3 linked regions of the Neodiprion lecontei genome follow. The protein of the gene in region 2 purifies or fractionates together with the protein of the main gene of each other region. This does not show direct contact. Links are inferred from orthologs where the notes say so. Each region holds a gene or a part of one and is shown on either strand. Other genes may lie near its edges. The genes, in order: protein-L-histidine N-pros-methyltransferase, zinc transporter 1 and xyloside xylosyltransferase 1.

Region 1 (7,363 bases), on a different chromosome or scaffold from region 2:
GCTTCTAGAGCTTCATCGAAAACCCGTGGTAACCGCAAAAAATCTTACACGGTTGACAAAATAAACACTACGCTCACGTAAATTCTAACAATTTTATTCTTCGCGATGATAGGAGAAAAGAAACAAAATCTCTGACAAGAAGTAACGAGTAGGTAAGATGCCGAGAAAATTCCTGTAGTAAATCGCATGATTCGCTTCTCCGATGAATATAACTAAGACGTGATTTTTTAAAATCTTTTTTGTTTCATCCTCCGAACGCATAATTGGTGCGTGAGAATTTCCCAGTATAATTTCTCACGCGCCTATACCTACCTACGTAATACCAACTGACCGACCGCCGAAAAAGCCTATACCTATGGAGAAATTACGATCGAATTTCTGAGTAATTACGCAGCATTCTTGAGTAATTATGAGAAGTTGTTTTTTAGTCCACGTCTGAAGCCAAGGGGAAGTACTTCGTACACTTCACCTCGGAAGCGTTCCTTCACCTCCTCGTCCCTCCTCACCCTCTCTCCTTTCGCTCTCTCTCCCTCGTCTCTTTCGGAGCGCAATGGAGGGGGCGAATCAAGGTCGTCCGTAAATTAACCCGCACGCGGTAGAATCCAGAATATAATACTCACTTATTTCTCGGAGTCGCCGCAGGTTCTACATAACCCACACGCGTCGTGCGCACGTACCTGGCGGCCTTTACGCCACCCGGTACATTTAACTGCCTCTCGAATGACGTTCGGGCGTATGTCTACGCTCGTTGCATGCTCTTATTTTCGAACGACGCCCAAGACGCCGACTGAAACAGTAGACGCCATCCCCTCGCCCATTGTTGGCCAATTTCACGCGGGCCAAGCCGTTAATTACCAAAGCGCAGCTTGTCCCCGTCCCCAAGGCGAGAGGACCCCTCTAGCCAAAACAACATCGCCGAGGCCTAACGCCCTTGTTTCGAACGAACCTCTCTTAGTTTCGCGCCACTTTTCGAATCTCCACTGAGAAAACAATTTATTTTGTTTCACCAAACGTATATTTGGATATGGCGAAATAAACGTTTAGTTATTATCATCAAATTTTAGTCGAGCCAAGTATGATTTTTAAACCATTAACAAGTTTCTATCGATCATTATTTGGCTCGACTGAAATTTGATAATAATAACGAAACATTTGTTTCCTCGTATCCAAGCATACGTTTTTCAACAGTGAATAATAAACTTTTTTCTCAGTGTCCTTGATTGACGAAACGGCTCATTTTGTCCGTTAATTCACTGACAAGAGAAATATCGAGTGAAAACAAACTGTATTCTACATAGAAAGTTTTGTGAGATCCAACGTGGTTTGATTATCCTCAATCCTAGCTATTATCGGTAATGCGAGGAGGAAAATTGGGGGTTAAAAAGTACAGACGATGAATTGAAAAAAATTTAATGGCCTCGCATCGCACGCGAGTCGGGAAAAAAGAACGAGTAAAAATGGAAAAATTTTTCCGGCTACCGTGAACTGCAATAAGGAAAGCATAAAACTTTCTCCCTCGTCCGCGGCACGCTCCCTCGGGATTTCGGTTAAAGGGGAGGCGACGCGTTGCACGGGAGCAGACGTCGTACCTTGGCTGATGACCTCGTTGAAAAATATTAATGGACCGCTTGAAAACACCTCAAGAAAAATTATGATGGAATTCAATATATGTACTGCGTAGTTAGAGGTATGCCTACTTTGAGAAACGCAAGACTGTTCCTCGACTTTTTAATAGTGATGCAAAATTATTTGATGATCTTAAGGTATCGATTATTGTGGCGTTAGATTAATCGATTATTATTCGAGTTTTCAGAAATTCGATTATTATCGAATCGATTCTTTTTCTATACGAATCGATTAGTTATGACGATGGGAGTCATTTAAGAACAATTTCCTGTAAAAATGTAATGTTATTTTCTCGTAATTCATGAAACAAAGTCATTTGCTATCATCATTTTCTGATTACGTGGAAAAAGTAGTAGAATACTTCAAAATAACGTTTATTTGTTGCCAACAATGGTACACTGAATAATAGTATTAACGCTGTCAATAAATAGCTCGTTTGTTTCAGTTAAATGTTTTGTCGATTATGAGGAACCGATGCTATTTCCATCCAATATATCGATTCGCAAAATCGGAGATATAAATATAATTGATCGATTTTCAGATCGGTTCTTTAATTTTCTCGCACCACTGCCTCTTGAGTCAGTGTTCAATTACAATTATTACATACAATTTCGATACAAGAAAAACTTGCGGCGAAAATATTCTTGTTTTACCCATTTTAACACCACTAATCTTAGCGTATCTCATAACATTTCCCAGCTCGTATCTGTAAGTACGACCAAGTATCTAATTGGGCCCTTAAGGTTTACCTTACAATTAATGTCGCAATGAAATTTCGGGACAAGTATAAAAAACGCGACTTTCTCCTTGTAAACGGCTTCTCAAAACCTCAAACAACGACACGATAGCTCGATCCGTCTTCACAAAGGTGCAAAAACGGGAATACAAAGCGAGTAACATCGTGTCGGTGCCGCGCGTGATTCAAACTCGGGAATCCTACAGCGGTCGGTAATGCACCGGACCCCTGGATTACCGACGGAGCATAAATCGCCGCGGCGCTGTGGGTGCAGGCTACAGCGTGAGATGGCGGTTAATCTGTCAACATGGCCACGTGCCGACGAGGAGAACGGTCTTCCGTAGAGTGATAGAACGCGGATCCGGCCCGTGTCCTTCGGTATTTAGATAAATCCGGATAAGCCAAGTCGCGGCCAGGATGGCCAGGTGCAGAGGGCGCGTGGACAGTGTCAGTACGGAGCCACCCCGCGAATGGGACACATTTACGCGATTCTACTAGCCTTGGCAGCCGCCCAAGGACCCACAGCCGCGTTGTCATCGGACCGAGGAAGCGGCGCAGTCATGAAGAGTTACCGACCCCGGGGCGGAATCGCGCGGATGATATACGACAAGCAGAAGGCGGACGAGCGACTTCGCGTCTACGACAAAACCCAGGTGAGGAGTCAAAACCGAGCGAACCGAGTAACCTCGGAATTTTAAGATGCCCCGTTCTTACGGAGGAACGATCGCAAAGCTTCGGAAATTCCCGTCCGTCTGCGCGTGCGCGCGCAGCCCCGCGCTTTCCTCGTAGAACCGAGTGGTTCGACTAGGTGTGAGATAGGGTCGATCGAATGTGTGCGTGAGCGTGCGTGTGTGTTCGTTCACAGCGTCCTGCGTCAACTGTCACAGGGCCGCAGGCGCGCTCCTGTAATCCAAATGTTTGAATTTCGAACACAATGAGTTGAATTATTCGCGCTCGATTTGTCGGGTGTTTCTCGGGGAAAGGATAATTTCGGCGGCTCGATTTCCGAATTCGACCGCGTGCGAACGAGACGTCGAATTCGCTGTGGCCGTGGGGAACGAGAGATGTTTGAGAGAAAAAAACGATAAAATAGAAGGAGAACAAAAAAGGAGTAAGAATAATAACAATGTCCGAAAGAGTCGAGGGCGCGCGTGCAGCGGTTGTTGGAGGAAAAGATTCGATTTTAAAAGAGGCGAGGATTTGCGAACGGCGAGGAGCCGGCGGGAAGGTGGAAGTTGGAAGGTGGAAGGTGGAATGGGGGGGCGGGGGGGGGAGGGAAGGAGGCACGCCGGTAATAATTAGTACAATTATCGTACAAGGCCAACCACCGGTTCCCCGACGCGGCGCGTCCTACGCCCTGCGTGAGGTTACGGATGTATGTATCCGCGGAGAAAGAGCAGGAGAGAAATAGCGAGAATGAGAATGAGAATAAGAATAAGAGGCGGCCGGGCTTACCTGCCTGTCTTGTGTGCCCTCCAGAGGCTCCGGAGCGGTAATTATGCGTAATTACGTCGTCGATATTCCTGAAACATCTCTCGCCGCTGCTTGCGCTGCGGGCCTCTCGGACTCCCAGCCTATTTATAATTACCCGCTGCAAGGCTTGGAGTAAAGACTTTCCAATTTGCACCGAGCCAAAGCTCTTGCACGTGTGGTGCGCTCCTCTATACGTAGAACGCGCGTTACCGACGCACCGAGGAAAGCCATTCTTCGATGAGGGAAATAAAGAGGGAAAAATCGAAATAGGAGAAAATTAGCGGGAGTCGGGGAATCGCGCGGCGGCCTCGATTGCAAACTGCAAAGTCTAACTAACCGTGACGGCTCCTTTGCTCGCGCGCCGTGTGTGCCTTGCCTTTCCTTGCCTTTCCTCGCCTTGCCTTATACAACCTTCCCGTATATAACGAAGCAGTTCACGCGAAAATACATCCCCCGCTGCACCGCCGGGCTACGGGTCGGTAGCAGCACATCACATCGCATCACATCAGATCGAGAAGAGAGCTTGCGCCTGCAAAGAATATCAAGTTTCTGATCGAGCCCCGGGCGAGGGATTCAGCGTCTCTGTGTCTCTGATGTAGACACTTGAGCTGTACCCGTTACCCGGGCTCGAATTGGGTCTCTGGGTGTATTTATCATTTCATTGGAACTCACGATCAGCGACATCCGGTCGCAGGAAATTTAAATGTCAGGATACCCGAATTCAATTTTATAAAAATACGTTTTTTTTTATCATGTTCTTCAACCGATGTGCGTAGCTTGCGCGGACTTTTCTGCTCCTATCGATACTCGCAAAATCCGGTTAAAAACACTGGACTATTTCGCAGATTTCTTACACTACAACGGCATTTGCATGGGGATATGCATCCATCTGCTTAAACGGTTCTTCATCGACGGAGTAAAAGAAAGAACAATTTTTAACTGGCTCTAATCGCGATATAAATTGACGATGCGGGGAATATTCTTCATCCCAAACTCCGATCGTGATAATTAGATATCTATATATATATATATATATGTATATATTCGATGTTTTATATTTACTTGGGATCCGGAGCTAACGACGATATAACACGCACTTTGCACCGTTTCGGGATTAGGCTAAACCCTTACTCGAGACCGTTACGGGTTAGACGTTCGATAAGCGGTAATTAATGATCATGCAGTAAAGCTGTCTGCTTGCTCGTTTCTCGATATATCCCGGTACAGAACGCTCCGACTTCTACGGGCCCCGATATTCACTCGTGTGTGTAAGTTTGTATTCTACGTACGTAAAAGCCCGTTGACACAATCTTGTATCACATTACGTGCTATCGGATACGAAGCATAATCGTAGTAGTATAATTTATTTTTGCCAATCGTATCAAAGAATTATCCGTCAATGTTTGCGGCTGGAAATGAAATCTTGCAGCTTTGCAAACTTTTTGACGCGTGCGTGTGGTGACAAGTTTATTTAAAAAAAAAAAAATTAAAAAAACACAACCACAGGGCCAATGATTTTTAAAATAGCAAAAAATATCCTTGAATTCTTGAGAAAAATACTGTTTATATCCGGTTTTGATTATGTAATTCAGTTTGAAGTTGCAACGATTCAAATATCCCCACCTCAAACCAAAACAAGTACTGTGAGTTGACATTGAACCTATTTGTACATCACGTGGTGTCCACCTTCTTGGATTTACACCTCTCACTGCGAAACTATCGTCAGAGCACCACGTGCAAAATTGCTTTTCCTAATACGTGTCTTTTATTTTCGTTTTCTTCCTATAGAATTTAACTTCGATAACGTGTAAAATAATTGACTAATCCGAAGATTCCGTTTTACATAATCAAATCAGAGATGTATAAAACATCAACTATGTGTGGTATCTTCAACAATATAATTACATGAATCTACGGTTCAACGAACCTGTCGCGATCACGGATACCATCGATTGATCTGCTTAGCTGGTAGTAAAAGATAAGTGAATAATTGTTAACAAAACAATTCAAGAAATTATAACGACAAAACTTCGATGAAAGAAATATAAATTGATACAAGAGACTATTTTAAAATGAATGAAGAAAAAGAGAATATTCAAAAAGGAATAAAGAATAGTTCGAGAAACAATTTTAATGAAAGAAAAACGATATGTATTTCCAATTTTAATCTGTTTCACCTGCTGATCGATAATTTACGTACTTTGTGAGCGAATGATTGAATGGATACACGAATGAATATATAGTACGTTTTTCGGTTATTGCTATAAATTTATATAACAGAAGTAAAAGGAATATTTACAATTTTCGTAATCTATTACATAAAATTTGTTCATAATTTATATTCAACATCTAAACCTATATTTACAAAATTCTTTGCCTACGATCATACACGTAATTTTCCAAGTCAATTTGATCGAGGAACGCATATTGCTGGGTAACCGAACCGTCTTTTTGGAATAAAAAAAAAAATTCCTAAACCTTGTCACGAATCAATTTTCGCCGCACACCGTAACCCGGATAAAAATCAGCATCGGCGAATCGAGGATGACGATTTTTCAGGAAATTCGGTTGGCTCGAGATGTGCTATATACTCGTATATATATCGGCGGGGCCCCGAGGAGCCTCGCCCGGATGCCCCAGTCTCGGGCTCGTCGCCTCGGTTCCCCCTGGAGCGCCATCCATCACTCACTTAATATTTCAGTGCGCCTCTGCCCCTTTTTAAAACCTTAAAACACCATGGTGTAGCGTTGCCGCGCACATGCACGCGTTCATCTTACACCCCCGCGTGTTTATGTGTAGGTACATGTATAACAACACACTTGTCCAACCTGAGAGCAAAGTTCTCTGATGCCGGACTATGCTTAAGGATATTAGGGGCTGACGGTTTATCGATTTCTGGGGAAAATTCTCCGCTTACTTAGCCGCGGCTAGAACCCACCCCTACATCCTTGCACCCTTCTTTCCTGTTTTTTGGACTTGGTGAAGAATGAAACAACGACGCTCTCGTACTTTTTTTTATACATACGAAGAATAGTTTGTGCGTGCGACACTGCGCGAGTCGTGATTCCGTGATTACCGGCTGAATTTGCGATTTTTTGATTACCGGTTCTTAAACTTCTACGTCCGTAGTCCCTATTCATGATAACCGCTGATCAGGGAAAACCTGAAAGTCAGGGAAGAGTTAGGAAATTTGTGGCGGTAAGGAACGTCAAGAATAAAAGTTCCCCTGTGCAAAAGCGCAATTTTAAAAATAATTTGCTTTCACATGCTCTGTTCCATGACCATCAAATGGATGATAAACGTGCTTTCGAATACCGGTTAATTAGGATCTTCATTCGTTGGATAGTCAAATTATTTTATATCTTGTTCGAATTTGAGTCAGAGATAAATTATAATTGGATCACGGCGAAGAGTTCTCGAATGTTTTCATCTATTTCTATTAGCCACCATCTGTATAAACCTTGAATTTGTCATGTAGTGTAATATAAAAAGATCGGTGGTTAAAAAAAAAAACAACAAGAAAATTAC
Region 2 (7,256 bases):
GCCCAAAGCTACTTTAGAGCCATCGACGTTAACAAAAAATATACAAGAATATTAAAAATGCATTTAATATTAGTACACGTTTCGGAAATTGTGATGCGCCCAAGTAAAGATAATTCGCCGCCTCTTTCATGGGTAAACCTTTTGCCGTGACTGAGTTATTCCTTAAAGCCATTCAGTAGCCAATCAAATTGTTAGACCAAAATTCTCGAAAGCCCATTCGTTGTCGTTTGATGCGTGACCAAAAGACGTTGGCCACTTTTCCAACCGAGGATAAAGTCACAAAATATCCTGGTTTCGCTTCAGATTATCAGATAAAGTGAATAAACAGTAGAGTATTTCCACACTGTAGGTAGATCGTTGTTTTATTTGTTACGTTCTTTGGTCGGAGTTTGAAATAAATTGGAATCCGACTCCGAGACGTATTCTCGGTGTCGTCTTTTTATAATTCCGCAACACGCTGCGACCTTCATTTTAATGGATCCTCAACACTGATTTACATGCACCCATGTCTTAACATTACATTTTTTGAAAGTAATTATCCACACTGTTTACTGTCTTTGCGATAAATGGAATTTGTTTGGCCGCTATATTGAAGAGTGGGTTTTCTCTGAATCTTGACCTACCGCATATATATTTAAGCTGTCATCGTATTTGGCTCTGTTATTTTTAAAGAAAAATGCCGTTTCGAGATAAGCTACATTAATCTGCTTCCTTATCTCGCATTCGATGTGTTAGACTCACTGTTCTACTGACTAATGTATATTTATTTCGTATCATAGTACTGCGTTATTATTTCAAATGTTCACAAATTAATCATCATTGCAATATGCATTGACTGAAGATTATGATCTTCAGTTAACGCAATGTGATATTCTCACATCAATTATTTCAATTGAAATCATTATCTGTAATTTAGAAGTACTCATTAGAAATATGTACAAAAGAAATGGGAGATTTGGATACATTGTAAGTTGACTGAAGATTCTTATTTTCGGAAGTTTCGTACCAGCCGATAATTACTGCGGTACTCTCTCTGTACCGCAGCTTATCGACGTGCAATTACCATATCTACCACTTCAGAGTGCAGTGGTCTGGCACCTCTGGCACCAACATACCATTAGTTATTTCGCAACCGAACTTACATTCGTGTAATGCTATGTAGTATGTATTGTCTTCATTGTTAAGTTTATTTCTTTAACTTCAACCCACACGTAGCTGGCCCCTTCAAGCCCAATCGTCTTGCACTGATGTAGCCACCGGTCAATCAGGAGTCTTTTCCAGAAACTCATTCCGCTATTGAAGATTATTTCAAATCAGACTGCTGTAACGTTGAATCATTTTTAGACACCAGAGAAAAAGGAACTAAATTAAACGCAGAACCAATTGAGACTCCAGATAATTCAGAATACACGAAATTACGAGCAGTGCAGATCATTCTAAATCATAAAACGATCATATTCAGTAACTTCGAATGTTAGTAAAATTAACGTGATTCCGTTGGTGAATCACATAAGTAAATAACACCAGATTGAGACAAGCTGAACCAACTATCAGCTAATTTTTGCTCTAGATACTCCTTATAAGTATTTAAGTCTAACAAAACGGTTATCTGTTTATTTTTCTGTAAGAAAATGTAGAAGATTAGGGAAGGATAGATAACAAAGATTTAAGAAACATATTTTTACTTCTAAATTGCATACATCTTATGCACAATTACTGCTACCGTGGAATATATGCATTATATAATGGCCAGTAATGTTCGGTGCAGAAAAATATGAAATGAATACAAGTAATCTAGGTAACGAATACACTGCACTATTTGCTTGTATTAGTTAGGTACATGTTTCACTTGTGGTGGGCGTAATTCGTCGTGAACACGGTAATATTGCTGGGCGGCCAAACTTTGCACATTGCACGACCTCGTAACAGGGCCTGTGGAACGGGGCCGTACATACGAGAATCCGATGAATTGTTGCTATTATCACCTTCGAGCCAAACATGACCAATAGGTACCTGAAAACAGTAAACAACAAACACGTATAATACGAGCCATGCGTCGTCGACGCTCTTCATTATTCCGATGAGCGCTCGGATTTCTGTTCTCAAAAAATACAAAATTATTCAAAGAGCAGTAACTCCCCAGGTTCGTCATATTTTTTAAAATTTCTTTAATACGTCCAACTTTTTAACATTTTGCCGCTCGCGTGTACATTTTTTAACGTGTTGCGTGAGCATTGGCATGTCAACAACACAGAACTCACGATGTAAGTTGAAAAGCCGTCATGTATTTTGTCTCCTGGGACACCAGTCACCCGTTTGCAAATGTGTTGACATGGGTTCGATGGGCATTTTGCGATAACTATATCTCCTCTGTGTATACGTTGTAGTCGCGGTGATACGTGCTCCGTTAGTAGTACATCGTTACTGTAAATTGTTGGCTCCATGGAAGGCCCTGTACACTGAAATACGAGACAACAATTACTTAGAAAGAAAAACAAATTAGTAAAATGAGAAAATAAAATGTAGGGGAAAAGAAGTGAACCACAATAGGAAGGCAAGATAATTTGCATGTATCATCGAGTTAAAAGTCAAGAAATAGATAATGAGAAAGTTATTATATACATGGTGACTCAGGACTATCACTTCATAGGCTGTCGATATTTATATAAAGAACACATTATTCCCATTTGATGTTTTACCACAGCTTGTTTATGATTCGATTCCAAATTACAAAACATCGAAAAGTCGAAGACAACGACAACTTCTTGTAGTTTAGAATGATACGAATTATCGCGGCAAAAATCTATTTAGACGAAGACTGGTGACATCTGTTTTGCGCGGTCGGCAGAGTAGGACTTGAGCGACGATACTTCATTTAGGACCAATCGTTATTGCGTGCGGTAATTCTAGATATCGGCAGAGGTTCAACGGATAAACTCTAACCTCAAAGTAACATTAGTAGTGTCAGATTATAATGATATAATGGACGCATTTGCAGATAACAGTAGTTATAAAAACAACTTACCACGACAAAATCACCGACGTATTCTAACGCACAGTGAGTTACGCACCCGTATTGTAATAAAGTACCTATCGTGCCCAATATCTTGAATGAAAATTTATTCAACATTATTCGTGAGTATGAGTAACATTATCGTCTTGAATATTTAACAAGTTTAAATATTGGCCTTGGCTTGTTTATACACGTTCAAAAGAAAAAAAATGCAAGATAAAACTTGAGCACAACACTTAAAATCTACATCGGTGGACCAGGCACAGGTCTCGACAGATTGGTAAGTCACGTGGATATCAAAATTTTGAAGTCGACATAAACGAGAAGAAGAAATTACAGCTGGCATCATACGCAGCTTATAAAGGAGATCAGTCTCAAATACAGTTAGCGTCAATAGTTGTTTAATTATATTCGCCCGATGAATAAATTACGCAACGCTATTAGTTTTATTCTTATATCAACAAGGTTCGAGCTTGTGTTGAATTCATCGACAGAACGGTAGAACAGTAAACAGAAAATTTGTGATGTATGCATGCGTGTCATGAGCTTGACGCTGCGAATTTCACGAATACTTTGTGAACACATAAGCGGCACTGAATTTTCTCACCGAGTTTCAGAATTCAGTTGGCTGTGAGTTACCATTGATGTATTGCGGTTTATTTTCTATCCTCGTTGGGTGTCCAACAATGGATTGAATGTAGTGTTTTAAATTGCTCTTCATAGAGTTTAATGTGTTTTTTACTAAAAAAAAGTATTTTGTACTTTAACCAATAAATGAGTCCCGTGAATATATCATGTTTGGATACTACATTTTGTGGGCAAAGTTTTTCAACTCCATCATTTTATACTAGTACCTTATAGTTGAAATAATTTTACAAATTACAAATAATTCTTCAAGGTGAGTGTGCAACAAAATATCTGTCGTTACAACATTATTATTTCATATCGTCAGTTGAAAATGAGTAGTGTTTTCAATTGGATTTCCACTAACGTTTTCCAAACTAATAACATAAAAATAAATCCGGCATGTGCCATTATTTTGCGTCTCATGTAGTGATTCATACGTACCCCTTCACTCCTATGAATCATTCCTTCTTTTCTTTATGATGATTGTCTCCATCTGTGCCTGTAAGTTGTTGATAAAAAAATAATTACCTAGTTTAGATTGCATGCCAACTTTTATACAGCAATTAAAATCAACTTATTTAATTAACTGCGTCAAAAGGCTAAGTTCGATTTTAAATTAGATTCTGTGTATTTCTCAGCTATCTATTAGTATCTAAGATTGCACGAGCATATACTCTGTAAGTAGGTGCTGATTACAGTCTGATAATCGTCTATGTCATGACCTACATTTCTACGTCACCAATTCCACGCGCTCGTTAGTCTTACCCATCACCTCTAATCACTAATTTAATTGTTTGAATATGTGTCATTGTGATAACTGGATGTGTAATCGGACATCACATGTATTTAACAATAGCAGACGTTGACCTTTGTCCATTCTGCTAATCGTCATCTAAAATTGTATGTATAACAATGTTTGATGATTATTTGATCAGGTATATTCTAAATTAAATCGAATTGATATCATCTGTATATGAAAGCATCAAATAATTGAATTAAATATATATCCAATTGCTTCCAAAGTTTTGATCGATCAAGCTTGATTGAAAACCCAATTTGTCACTCATACTGAGTTTTGATAACAAGTTCTTATGTGGTGAATGAATCTTGGTAAGTTAGCTTGATGTTAAATTATGTGCTGACCTATATTTACTTAATTACCATAATCTTACCATAAGAACTTGGTATTGGTGATTAGCTGAACTTTTGATCAAGCTCGATCGATCAAAGCTTCTGGTACAGATTCCTAATGTATATTCGACGGCATATCACAATATCGCTAATTCACTAATCTTCTCAGATCTGTATTACTTCTGAAGATACTGGGTTACAATTCTCAAATGCAGATAATAATTTTGAGGTCAGAAAAAATTGAAGTAGCTCCTACTGTATTAACAAACTTCATCTGTATGTTGATTTTGCTGTAATCCACATCTCAGCAGAGATATTGTACATAATACGGCACAGAAATCTCTGGAAAATATATAACACATGAGATTTGAATATTTGAGCTTGAGAAGCTTAGCATTTTTTATATTTCTTGATCCAGAGTTCGAATCTTTGATCTCTTATTTCCATTCCAACATCACATGACTGTGGTCGGCTGAAATATTTATAGAAGTCCTGGATTATCACTAAAAATAATATAACGAACGGAACAAAGAACCAGCCTTTGATACTTTCCAACATACATGTAATGCACAGGGTCATTTTTTCGTTGCTGATTACGACCCTTCAGTGAGAGAGAGCTGCTTCTGCAGGTCCTAGCTGGAACGGTTGCGTTAGTCATACTTATTTTCAGCAACGAAAAAATGACCCTGTATAACTATGTACAGTCATTATGCTTCTTAGCTTTCACCAGTTGGTAGAAACTCCAGTTTGTATTAAGGTGTTAGTCGGTTATGTGCAATTGTGACAAGTACGTAGGTCTTGATAAAATTTTTAATGAAGATATGAGCTTGATTATTTAGAGCACTGATTAAAACTTACATGGTCTCATTGTGTCAGTACTCAATTGATCATAAATCAAATATGCTGGTAAAGCCCAGCAGTTGATATTTATTTAAATACAAGGATTCCCTATAAGCTGTGTATTCATGTATTCAAATCTAACGAAAGTCACAAGGTTGAGGTTAGTGACCTTGACGCAATGAACACTGAAAGGAAAATCAGAATTTTTCTGCCTCAGAATAACTTTGAAAGCGTAGAATGTGCAAATTCTAAGTGTGTTAATACTTTATCACAGTTTACTAAACTTCAGACAAGACTGAAGTTGAAAAGTAATGTGCTTTTTGAAAAATATATTGTTAAATTAAAGTTACAAACTTCAACCTTGTCCAAAGTTAGCTGCTATTTAAATAAATAGTGTTGAACCATACTTATCCTGAAATTAAGATATCTGAAATTGATAAATAATACTGGTTTCATACTTTTTTCCAGCATTTAATAACAACAATGGGCCGTTATACTGGGAAAAAATGTCGACTGCTAACAATGCTGTGGCTCACTTTTATCTTCTTTTTGGTAGAAATAGGTTTTGGCTATTTCACCAACTCGATGGCTTTAATAGCTGACAGTTTTCACATGCTGTCGGATGGGCTTGCTCTAGTAGTGGCATTCCTCTCGGTGAAGGTAAGAAAACCAGCTACTGATTATTGCTGAAAAATTCATGAAATCTGACTGTTGAACTCAAATTACTCGCTGATGTCGGCACAAATTGAACGTGGCACTTCGCATTTCTGTTCTATTTATACTTAAATATAAATATTCACATGCGACATATGTGCTTGCAAGCTGCTACCGACATTTTTACAATACACAGTCAACTGTTGAGCTGTATAAATTTGTGATAAAACATTTATTTCAAACAATGCTTTGTTATTATAATCAATTGGATACTCCGATCAATTGCTGCATACTTACAGTAAGGTTGCGATCAAGACGCTCCGCATACAATTGATAGCCAATAATAACTATGAGTGCTTTGTTTTATTTTTGGTCTCATTGAAACCAGAGCGATTGACTGGTAGTTAGGGGAACTAAACTTGAATTAAATGAAGTTGATGATAGCAACATGACAGCGATGACTTTTTTTTTAGAATAACTCGTTATTTTAAAATTTTACAATTATTCGAAATTCACTAAACAGTAACATAGGGTGGCCACGCAACTGGAAAACCTGAAAAACCTGGAGATATCAGGGAATTTAAAAGGAGTCATCGAAAACTGGGAATTGTCAGGGAATTTTTCTTCGTTCATGAAAGAAACTGAAAACATTACTTTTATACCATGGCAATTAGAAATCATTTTTTTACGTTGAGAAAAAGAATTGGCTTAAATTGAATTTTTTGTACATTATATTTTTTTTCAATTTGAATTGAATTTGAACTAAATATTGAGTTAATAAGCTGAACGATTTAGGTTTTAGTACCTTACTAGAACTGGGAAAATGTCAGGGAAAACTGGGTCCTAGGTCCTGGAAAATTTGGAAATGTGAAATTTTTTTTATAAAATTTGTGGCCGGCCCAAATACAGCATGAATATACTCATATTTTGATGATGCAACTTCTTGATATATGTATATTCTGATGTTACGAATTACAGATTTTTTCCTCAA
Region 3 (7,429 bases), on a different chromosome or scaffold from region 2:
TTCTCCTGATTGTCGGCGAGAGTGTCGAACTTGAAGCATTGATAAGCATCGACCTCCTCCTTTGTTCTGATTATCTTCCCTTTGAGCTCCTCAGCGAGATGTTCACCCTTTCTGGCCGATTCCTGGACTTGCTGTATTCTCTCTTCGCGCTCCTGCCGCAGTTCTCCGATTCGCAACTCGATGTCACGATCAATGTATTCCATCAGCTGATCAACCCTTGTCTGTAAAAATGGTTAAATCGATTATTTCAAGCAGCCCAATTACCGCATCACCGTTCGTTCACTCACCTTGTAATCTTGAATCCTGTGTTGAAAGCGATCCGTCGTGTTACTGAGCTGCTCTGTGATGTTGCCGAGTTGCTCTTTGAGGTCGTCCATATGGGCGACCCAGCAAACGCTGCAAAATATCTGGAAAAAGGATCGACGTTAAGCTAGTTGCGCTTTCAGGAGAACGGAGCCCTGCGATCACTCACCTGTTTGCAGTGTTTGCATCTATTTTCTCTCGTGCACGCTGTCTCGCATTTAACGCACCGGATTTCCTGGACCACAGGCTCCGGCATAGACATCAGTGAAGACGGTCCCTGGACGAGGGAAGACGGCTGATCTACGCAGGGCGCAAAGGTCACAACAGGACTCGAGAAGACCAAGTGTTCCAGACTCTCGCCACCAACGTTTCCCATCACTCGCAGAAGATTCTCGATGTACAGGTTCGTTGGAAGGTCACGAGGCACCGATTCGACCACCGTCAACTTGCAAAGCGGGCACTTGATCGTTCTTCCTGCAGGGAATACCATCATACTCAATCACAAAGTTTACGCCGATTAAAGAGTCTGTCGCAATAGTGCCGCCCACCATCGTTTCCCGAGTAGTTAAGCTGCTCCTCCAAGCATTCGAGGCAGAAGGTGTGCTGGCACGGCATCATGCGTGGTGTACGAAGTCGTGCGAGGCAAATGGGACACTGTAGTAGGTCCTCGATCGCCCCAAGGGAAGTTCTGGAATGGTTTAGGAGCATAAGAGAGGTGCAAAGTACGTAGAGATCATTGCGCGTTTTTCGTTAACTTTATAAGCTGTGAGTGTCCGAACCCGTGAGATTTCCTTGAATCGTTGTTCCTGAGTTCCACCGTCGGTTGTTCAATGGCGGATTGACTGGAGTTGAAAACTGGCCGGGACTTGGATGCCTTGGGATCGGGACCCAGGATGAAGTCCGCTGGGAGTTCCGTCATTTCCTGCATTATAGCGCTGGACTCTTCGTGGTTTTCGACCGGTCGAGGATTTGTCGAATCGTGAGAAAGTGGCCTCTTGAATACCGACTTCCACTTCGAAGTCATTCTGGAAACGCCAATCTCTATATCAGATCAAAAACAACAGTACTAGCCAGTAGTCAGCACCACCTCAATCTTATCAATTATGAATTGATTCGGTATCAAGTTATTATCGAAGAAGCATTTTTTCACGTCAACGCGACGAAATGAGAGGCACAATAAACATAATTTAGTATGATGCATTTGTATACTCTGTGACATGCGATAAAATGTGTGAAAAAATTTAGCTGGGTGTTATCCGTACGTACTTTGAATATAATTGATTGTAAATCGTACTGAATTCCTGACTAAGTACTAGGTCAAACCGTATTATGGAAGACTAGAAAAATAAAATATGATAAGGTACGTTTTTTTTTAGAGTATTTTTGTAATCTCTCAAATCGCGCTACCTGCACTCCAAAAATTACGATACTGACATCACGATCCATTTATGGTTTTTGAAGATATACAATCCCAACTCAGAAAGTATAAAAAAGCCAATATTTTCTCTTCCATTGGCGACAATGCAGGAATCTCAAATCGGAATGGAATCGTAAAGTTTAAATTAATCTTACCCGGGATTATTGGCCGCTGTCGGCCACGGGGCGTCTTTTACAGTCGATTTTAATGTACAGCAATAAGGTGAATGTATTACTGTACTGATCCAAAAGTTCTTTCGACGCGGAGGATACTGCTGATATCTCGATAAGCTAGATGTGATGAAAGACCGTCGAAATAACGGGACTGATTGTAACGTCAAAGGAAACGATATTTTCACCACGATAACAACGTTATCAAGTACACTTATATCCACTAATCAGAAGATAACTTAAGAAAAAGTTGCTGTCTGTGTACAAGACAGGTTATCAGATCCAATAATCGATCGTATCACCATACTTTGAGTGTCAGCAACACTTTATACTTGAAAATGCTTTTTCGTGTAATTACCAAACGGGTTTACAAGTGCATGCACACACCATATATAGCGAACGCGCGTGTCAACGCGGTTATATCGGAATATGCGACTTTCGTTTATCAAACAGAATCAAATGCTGCAGTTTAATTCAGTACAGATTTCTTGCGTCAGTCGGTAGATTTAAAAATACAAAGTATATTTGTGTTTGAGATTTTTATATGAAACTGGCTTCGTGATCAAGCAATCGAATTATCGTGGACAGTCGAAGCTTCACAGCAAATTTTGAATTAAAGAAATCTCGAGACTTCCCGCGTCTGAAATTTAATTAATTATTAACTTGCGTGTAAGATTTCAGGTATTTTGGTAGTCGATATCTCTTGATTACAGCGCGTGCAGTGTTAGAGCCATTCGAGTTATTTGTGAATTCAATATTATTAAGGAACAAGCTGCTTTGACAAACTAATAATATTGATCCTAATAAATGATCTGAGCAAACATTTTATGAAAAAGTAGCAAAAAAGTTTCGAATTTCTCTGTTAAAAAATCAATTTGGTTTTTTTGAATTACCTTATAATATTGTAAATACACTTTCTTCTTTACGCGGAACAAAATACCAACAAAAATTATAGATCCTTCTGTGATAAAGGGTGCGTTTTGCTTCCTAATCTTCGAAAATGTTAGAACAAAGCTACTGATTGGCTGATTCTTGTAATATTGATCAATCAGACGAGTCTATCGGTTCTTTCGTTCTCAAAGTGTGCCAAATAACACACATTCAATATCGCTAGGAACGGGAAGGAATTCGAAATTCTTTCAAACTCTCTCGAAGTTCGAGATAAATCGAAAAGCGATAGAATTGATCTTAAACCAGACTCGACGCTCGAACGGTTTGACGTGTCGCCATGTTTGTTTTTCGGTCAGCGGATTGAAAATAATAGAATGTAAGCGATGAGGAGAGGAGCCTATTAACGTATGCAGTTGGAATAAAGTCTGCGATTATCCGTGGCTAATTACCGCGCGATGGTAGTGGAAATAAGGACGTTCATAAATGCATCCTCGCGGGGTGAAATTCGCGTGTGATCTGCGTGTAATAAACACGTACAATTAATGCCAAGCTTGGATTTGGTGGTTAAATGGGTTTGCTACACAAAGTGCTAGTGAATCTGACAGTTCTCGCCGTATTCCTGATAGTCTTTTATTGCTTCCAAACGCCGAGTTCCGCCCCAGCGACATTTTATCGCAATACAGAACCCAGAAATGAACTTGCAAAAACACCGAACGTTTCGTCCGCCGTAGCCCTCGCATCTCGGAAGGAAATAAATGACGAGTACTATAATGTGTGGTGCATATTCACAAAGGTTACGTCAAACTCTCCCCTGAGGAGGAAATTCAAAATATTTACCGCCTCTATGCTCAAACTGACCTCCGTCAACCTCGCTTTTCACGTCATCAGCGATCCAGCTAGTCGCGAAATCGCTGAACCCCTTATTCGGGGAGTCATCGCCACGTCTGGAAAATCTATGAAAGTATGTACTTTTAAGGATGAATAGGATCGACAGTCCGCATCAAAATTCAAGAAAATAGAAAGAACCGTTTGCAAAAATCTCCAGCGATTTCACCTGCGTCGTTACTAGTGATCACGAACGAAGGGAAAATTCTCACTACGCGATAGAAATTATTTTCATCAAATTCAAATAAAATCAGCTAAGATATCAAGAATTTGAGAAAAGGTTTTACTATTTTAACATTCCAAGTGAATAAACTTTGGTGCTTTTGATCCGATTCTAATATTTTGTGGCTTATTTTGTTCACCAAGAAGACCGCCAGAAATTGCTGTAAAAAAATCTATTCCCTAGCTTTCGATTCAGACTGTTGCTGTCATTCATTCTTATATTCATTACACACATCCTCCACTTACGGGATCTTTTCATCTTTGAATTTGTATTTCAGGCAGAAATTCAAGAGTGTAACTTAAAGAGATATGAAATTTCTAGGCGCACTTACACCCCTCGAAAGTTCTATAAATTTGAGTGAACCTTGATTACCCAGTTTTAATTTGTGTAATATTTTCAGGTAACGTACTACGACGTGCATGTGCTGGCTAAACAACTGGAGGATATTGTGTCGACAATGTCGCCGTACTTCAGCAGTAACCCAGGAACCTACTACTCTGACGCGCTCTTCTTTCTTTCTCTTGGACTGCACAGGATAGCGCCAGAGAATCAAAAGAAGGCCGCCATGTTTGATGCGGATACAAAATTTCGAACAGACATCAAAGAGCTATTCGAGGAGTTTAGTAAATTTGGACCTGAAGCCTTGTTCGGCCTAGCACCTGAACTGACTCCCGTCTATCGGCACGTTCTTTATTTATACAGAAGCAAAAACCCTGGCACCTTGTTCGGAGAACCTGCTTACCTAGGCGGTTTTCCAGGGTTTAATAGCGGTATGGTACTTTTCAATTTCGAAAAGTTGCGAGAATCTCTGGAGTACGATAACATACTCAGCATGGACAGCGTCGACCATATGACCCAGAAATATTACTTCAAGGTTTGTACAATCCTGACTGTTTTCACAATTACGTCAAGGTATTTTCGAAATGTTTTTATATCACTTGGCATTGTGAGAAAAGCGTGGAAAGAGAATAAATTTTAGTACCTATTTTATATCGCTCACCTGCTGGGGTGTTTAATTTTTTTCCATATTGGCTCATCTTTGGGAAAAAACATTGCCACACAGTAGGGAAACATTTCGTCGGATTCTCTGAAGCAAATATTTGTCGACATGTTGAATAAATTCTTCAAGCACCTTGAACTCCACAGACATGTGCAACAAAAGTAACAAATGTTTACAACTTTCTATTTCTATTTGATTCTACGTTAATCACTTTGCACGTTATTCAATAATCCAGTTTTGAAAAACGTTGACAAACTTGAATTATCTAATCGCAAGCAACTTGAATAGTCATTCACAGTCGAGGCACACATCTGTGAATATAACTTTCATCTGCTTTATATCTTCGTATCTACACTGATAGTGGGCCATTTTTTCTATACAAATAATAAAATTTGTAAATACATCCAAATTCCGACTGTTCCTAATCCTTCAGGTGGTGGTGTTGTGGTAAATTTTGTTTACGTTACATTGCAAGCTTGTCTCCTAATTTCATTTTGCAGGGTCATTTGGGGGATCAGGATTTCTATACTATTCTGGGTATGGAGCGGCCTGAATTGATCCACAAGGTGGACTGTGGTTGGAACAGGCAGCTGTGCACGTGGTGGGGAGAGCATGGATACTCCGATGTGTTTGCCAACTATTCTCACTGTGATGCAAGAGTCAAACTTTGGCACGGTAATTGCAACACGGCAATTCCTGATGATTAACTGCAATGAGTCAAGCAATTTTAAATAAAATTCAATAACTATTTAAGTATTATGGCAAATGAGATAAAAGTTTGTTATTAAAAATGTATGGACGCACTAGAGATATTTTGTAAAAAAGTAAAACGTAATTATAGTTTATATTATATATATATATATATATATATATATATATATATATATATATATATATATATATATATATATATATATATATATATATATATATATATATATATATATATATATATATATATATATATATATATATATATATATATATATATATATATATTATACATACACACACACACAATCGACTCTGTTTTAACACTTTTTTCCCTATGCTTCATTTCCTTTTCTATATTAGTTGAGGTGTTCTTTTCAACTATCTTGCCTGGTGAAGGTAATATCTTCGTTTTTGCGATTTAAAGTTTTGGAAAATAAGTTTCATCAGGTTACATTTACGTGAATTATTCAATGTTTGATACATCATTTTTGATTAACTTTAATATGACTATCAGTTATAAGATTTATAACTTACATAAATAGATATTACATACAGTTCTTTTTTCTTGTTTTTTTTGTTTTCTTTTTTTTTTCTTTGTTAGTTGTATACAGGCTGAAATGAAATACAGTATCAACATAATAATAAGTTTTCTTTCATCATCATCAACACAATATATTTACAGAAGATAATAGATATGTTTTAATCTTTGCTTTTTAAGGGTGCTGCCTCTTACGTTGACCTTGATCCTGTCAAATCTAATACTACATAGCAAACAATGGCATAATAAACGTGGACACAATCGTATTCATATGTAATTATTACATATAAAGACTATTTATGTGTTTCATGATAACTTCTTAAATTTACACAATGAATCTCATTAGAATCGAAGCATCGAACAAACGATAGTTGCGTAACATATAATCATAATTTCATATCGAAAAGTCTGCTGGATTCGAACATAATAAATCAATGTTTTGCGTTTACTGCCGTGTTTTACAAAGCAATTTTTTGGATTGCAAAATTACAATCGAAGTAAGTATATGCAACTGTTTTCTGTTAATGTTTAAATATAACTGGATCATCGGTTCTAACTAACTAACTACGGATAAATATATGCAATGTTTAGTATAAGTGTTAGTTAAATAATTAAATTGATTATATCACGCATTATGTACGTACGCATCGTGTGGTAATCCTTAAATTAATATATTATACATTCACCATCAATTTTATAGAATTATTGTCAAATGTAACAAAATGACGCTTTGGTAGAACTAAAAAACAAACTATATGTATATCATGTGTATATAATAATAATAGACACTTCATGTGCATGATTGTCCTTTCGTTAAATATAATGTATATAACGGCGAATGTTAATGACCATAAAATAATAACTGAAAATAATAACTCGTACTTTTTTTTAACACACTTTTTTTTCAATGCTTTTTCCCTCCTCGTTTTTCTAGTATAAGTAAATTCTGTCTGGGTACAAAGTTTTACGCTTTTACTTACGTCTTCTCAGTCGTCTTGCGAGCATTATTTTTCGAATAATATCGCTCCAAAGTATCCTATACAGAACATGACTAAATACACACCGTAAAGTAGCACCTAAAGTGGAAATAAATTCACCACGCGTTAATTCAATATTAATTCAATATATATATATATATATATATATATATATATTTTATATATACTACGTACCTGTATATGTATATTATATACACACATGAATTCCTTTACTTTATGATACATACACGTTATATATGCAGATGGAAAGAAATGACTAGTAATCCATATATTTCGAGTTTAGTATAGCT

The links.
Region 1: the proteins of zinc transporter 1 (region 2) and protein-L-histidine N-pros-methyltransferase purify together in Homo sapiens (co-immunoprecipitation; 3 studies listed by BioGRID and IntAct, with this or other methods). This does not show direct contact. The link is inferred for Neodiprion lecontei from reciprocal best matches to the Homo sapiens genes SLC30A1 and METTL9.
Region 3: the proteins of zinc transporter 1 (region 2) and xyloside xylosyltransferase 1 purify together in Homo sapiens (co-immunoprecipitation; 3 studies listed by BioGRID and IntAct, with this or other methods). This does not show direct contact. The link is inferred for Neodiprion lecontei from reciprocal best matches to the Homo sapiens genes SLC30A1 and XXYLT1.

What each region holds. Positions count from the first base shown.
Region 1 is NC_060262.1:21,743,351-21,750,713, forward strand, and holds the start of protein-L-histidine N-pros-methyltransferase, read left to right. Parts: upstream 1-2,655; 5' UTR 2,656-2,832; coding exon 2,833-3,015; intron 3,016-7,363. UniProt on the Homo sapiens protein: Protein-histidine N-methyltransferase that specifically catalyzes 1-methylhistidine (pros-methylhistidine) methylation of target proteins.
Region 2 is NC_060265.1:6,758,535-6,765,790, reverse strand, and holds the start of zinc transporter 1, read left to right. Parts: upstream 1-2,920; 5' UTR 2,921-3,025; coding exon of another isoform or gene 3,026-3,130; exon of another isoform or gene 3,131-3,293; intron 3,294-3,630; exon of another isoform or gene 3,631-3,911; intron 3,912-4,068; exon of another isoform or gene 4,069-4,081; coding exon of another isoform or gene 4,082-4,102; exon of another isoform or gene 4,103-4,184; intron 4,185-6,079; 5' UTR 6,080-6,094; coding exon 6,095-6,271; intron 6,272-7,256. Other genes in the region: mitochondrial inner membrane protease subunit 1, read right to left, coding at 1,846-2,013, 2,262-2,459, 3,026-3,130. UniProt on the Homo sapiens protein: Zinc ion:proton antiporter that could function at the plasma membrane mediating zinc efflux from cells against its electrochemical gradient protecting them from intracellular zinc accumulation and toxicity.
Region 3 is NC_060263.1:38,560,054-38,567,482, forward strand, and holds xyloside xylosyltransferase 1, read left to right. Parts: upstream 1-3,107; 5' UTR 3,108-3,349; coding exon 3,350-3,742; intron 3,743-4,289; coding exon 4,290-4,763; intron 4,764-4,889; coding exon of another isoform or gene 4,890-4,999; exon of another isoform or gene 5,000-5,389; coding exon 5,390-5,596; 3' UTR 5,597-5,742; downstream 5,743-7,429. Other genes in the region: tripartite motif-containing protein 2, read right to left, coding at 1-221, 288-407, 473-777, 852-991, 1,083-1,328, 4,890-4,999. UniProt on the Homo sapiens protein: Alpha-1,3-xylosyltransferase, which elongates the O-linked xylose-glucose disaccharide attached to EGF-like repeats in the extracellular domain of target proteins by catalyzing the addition of the second xylose.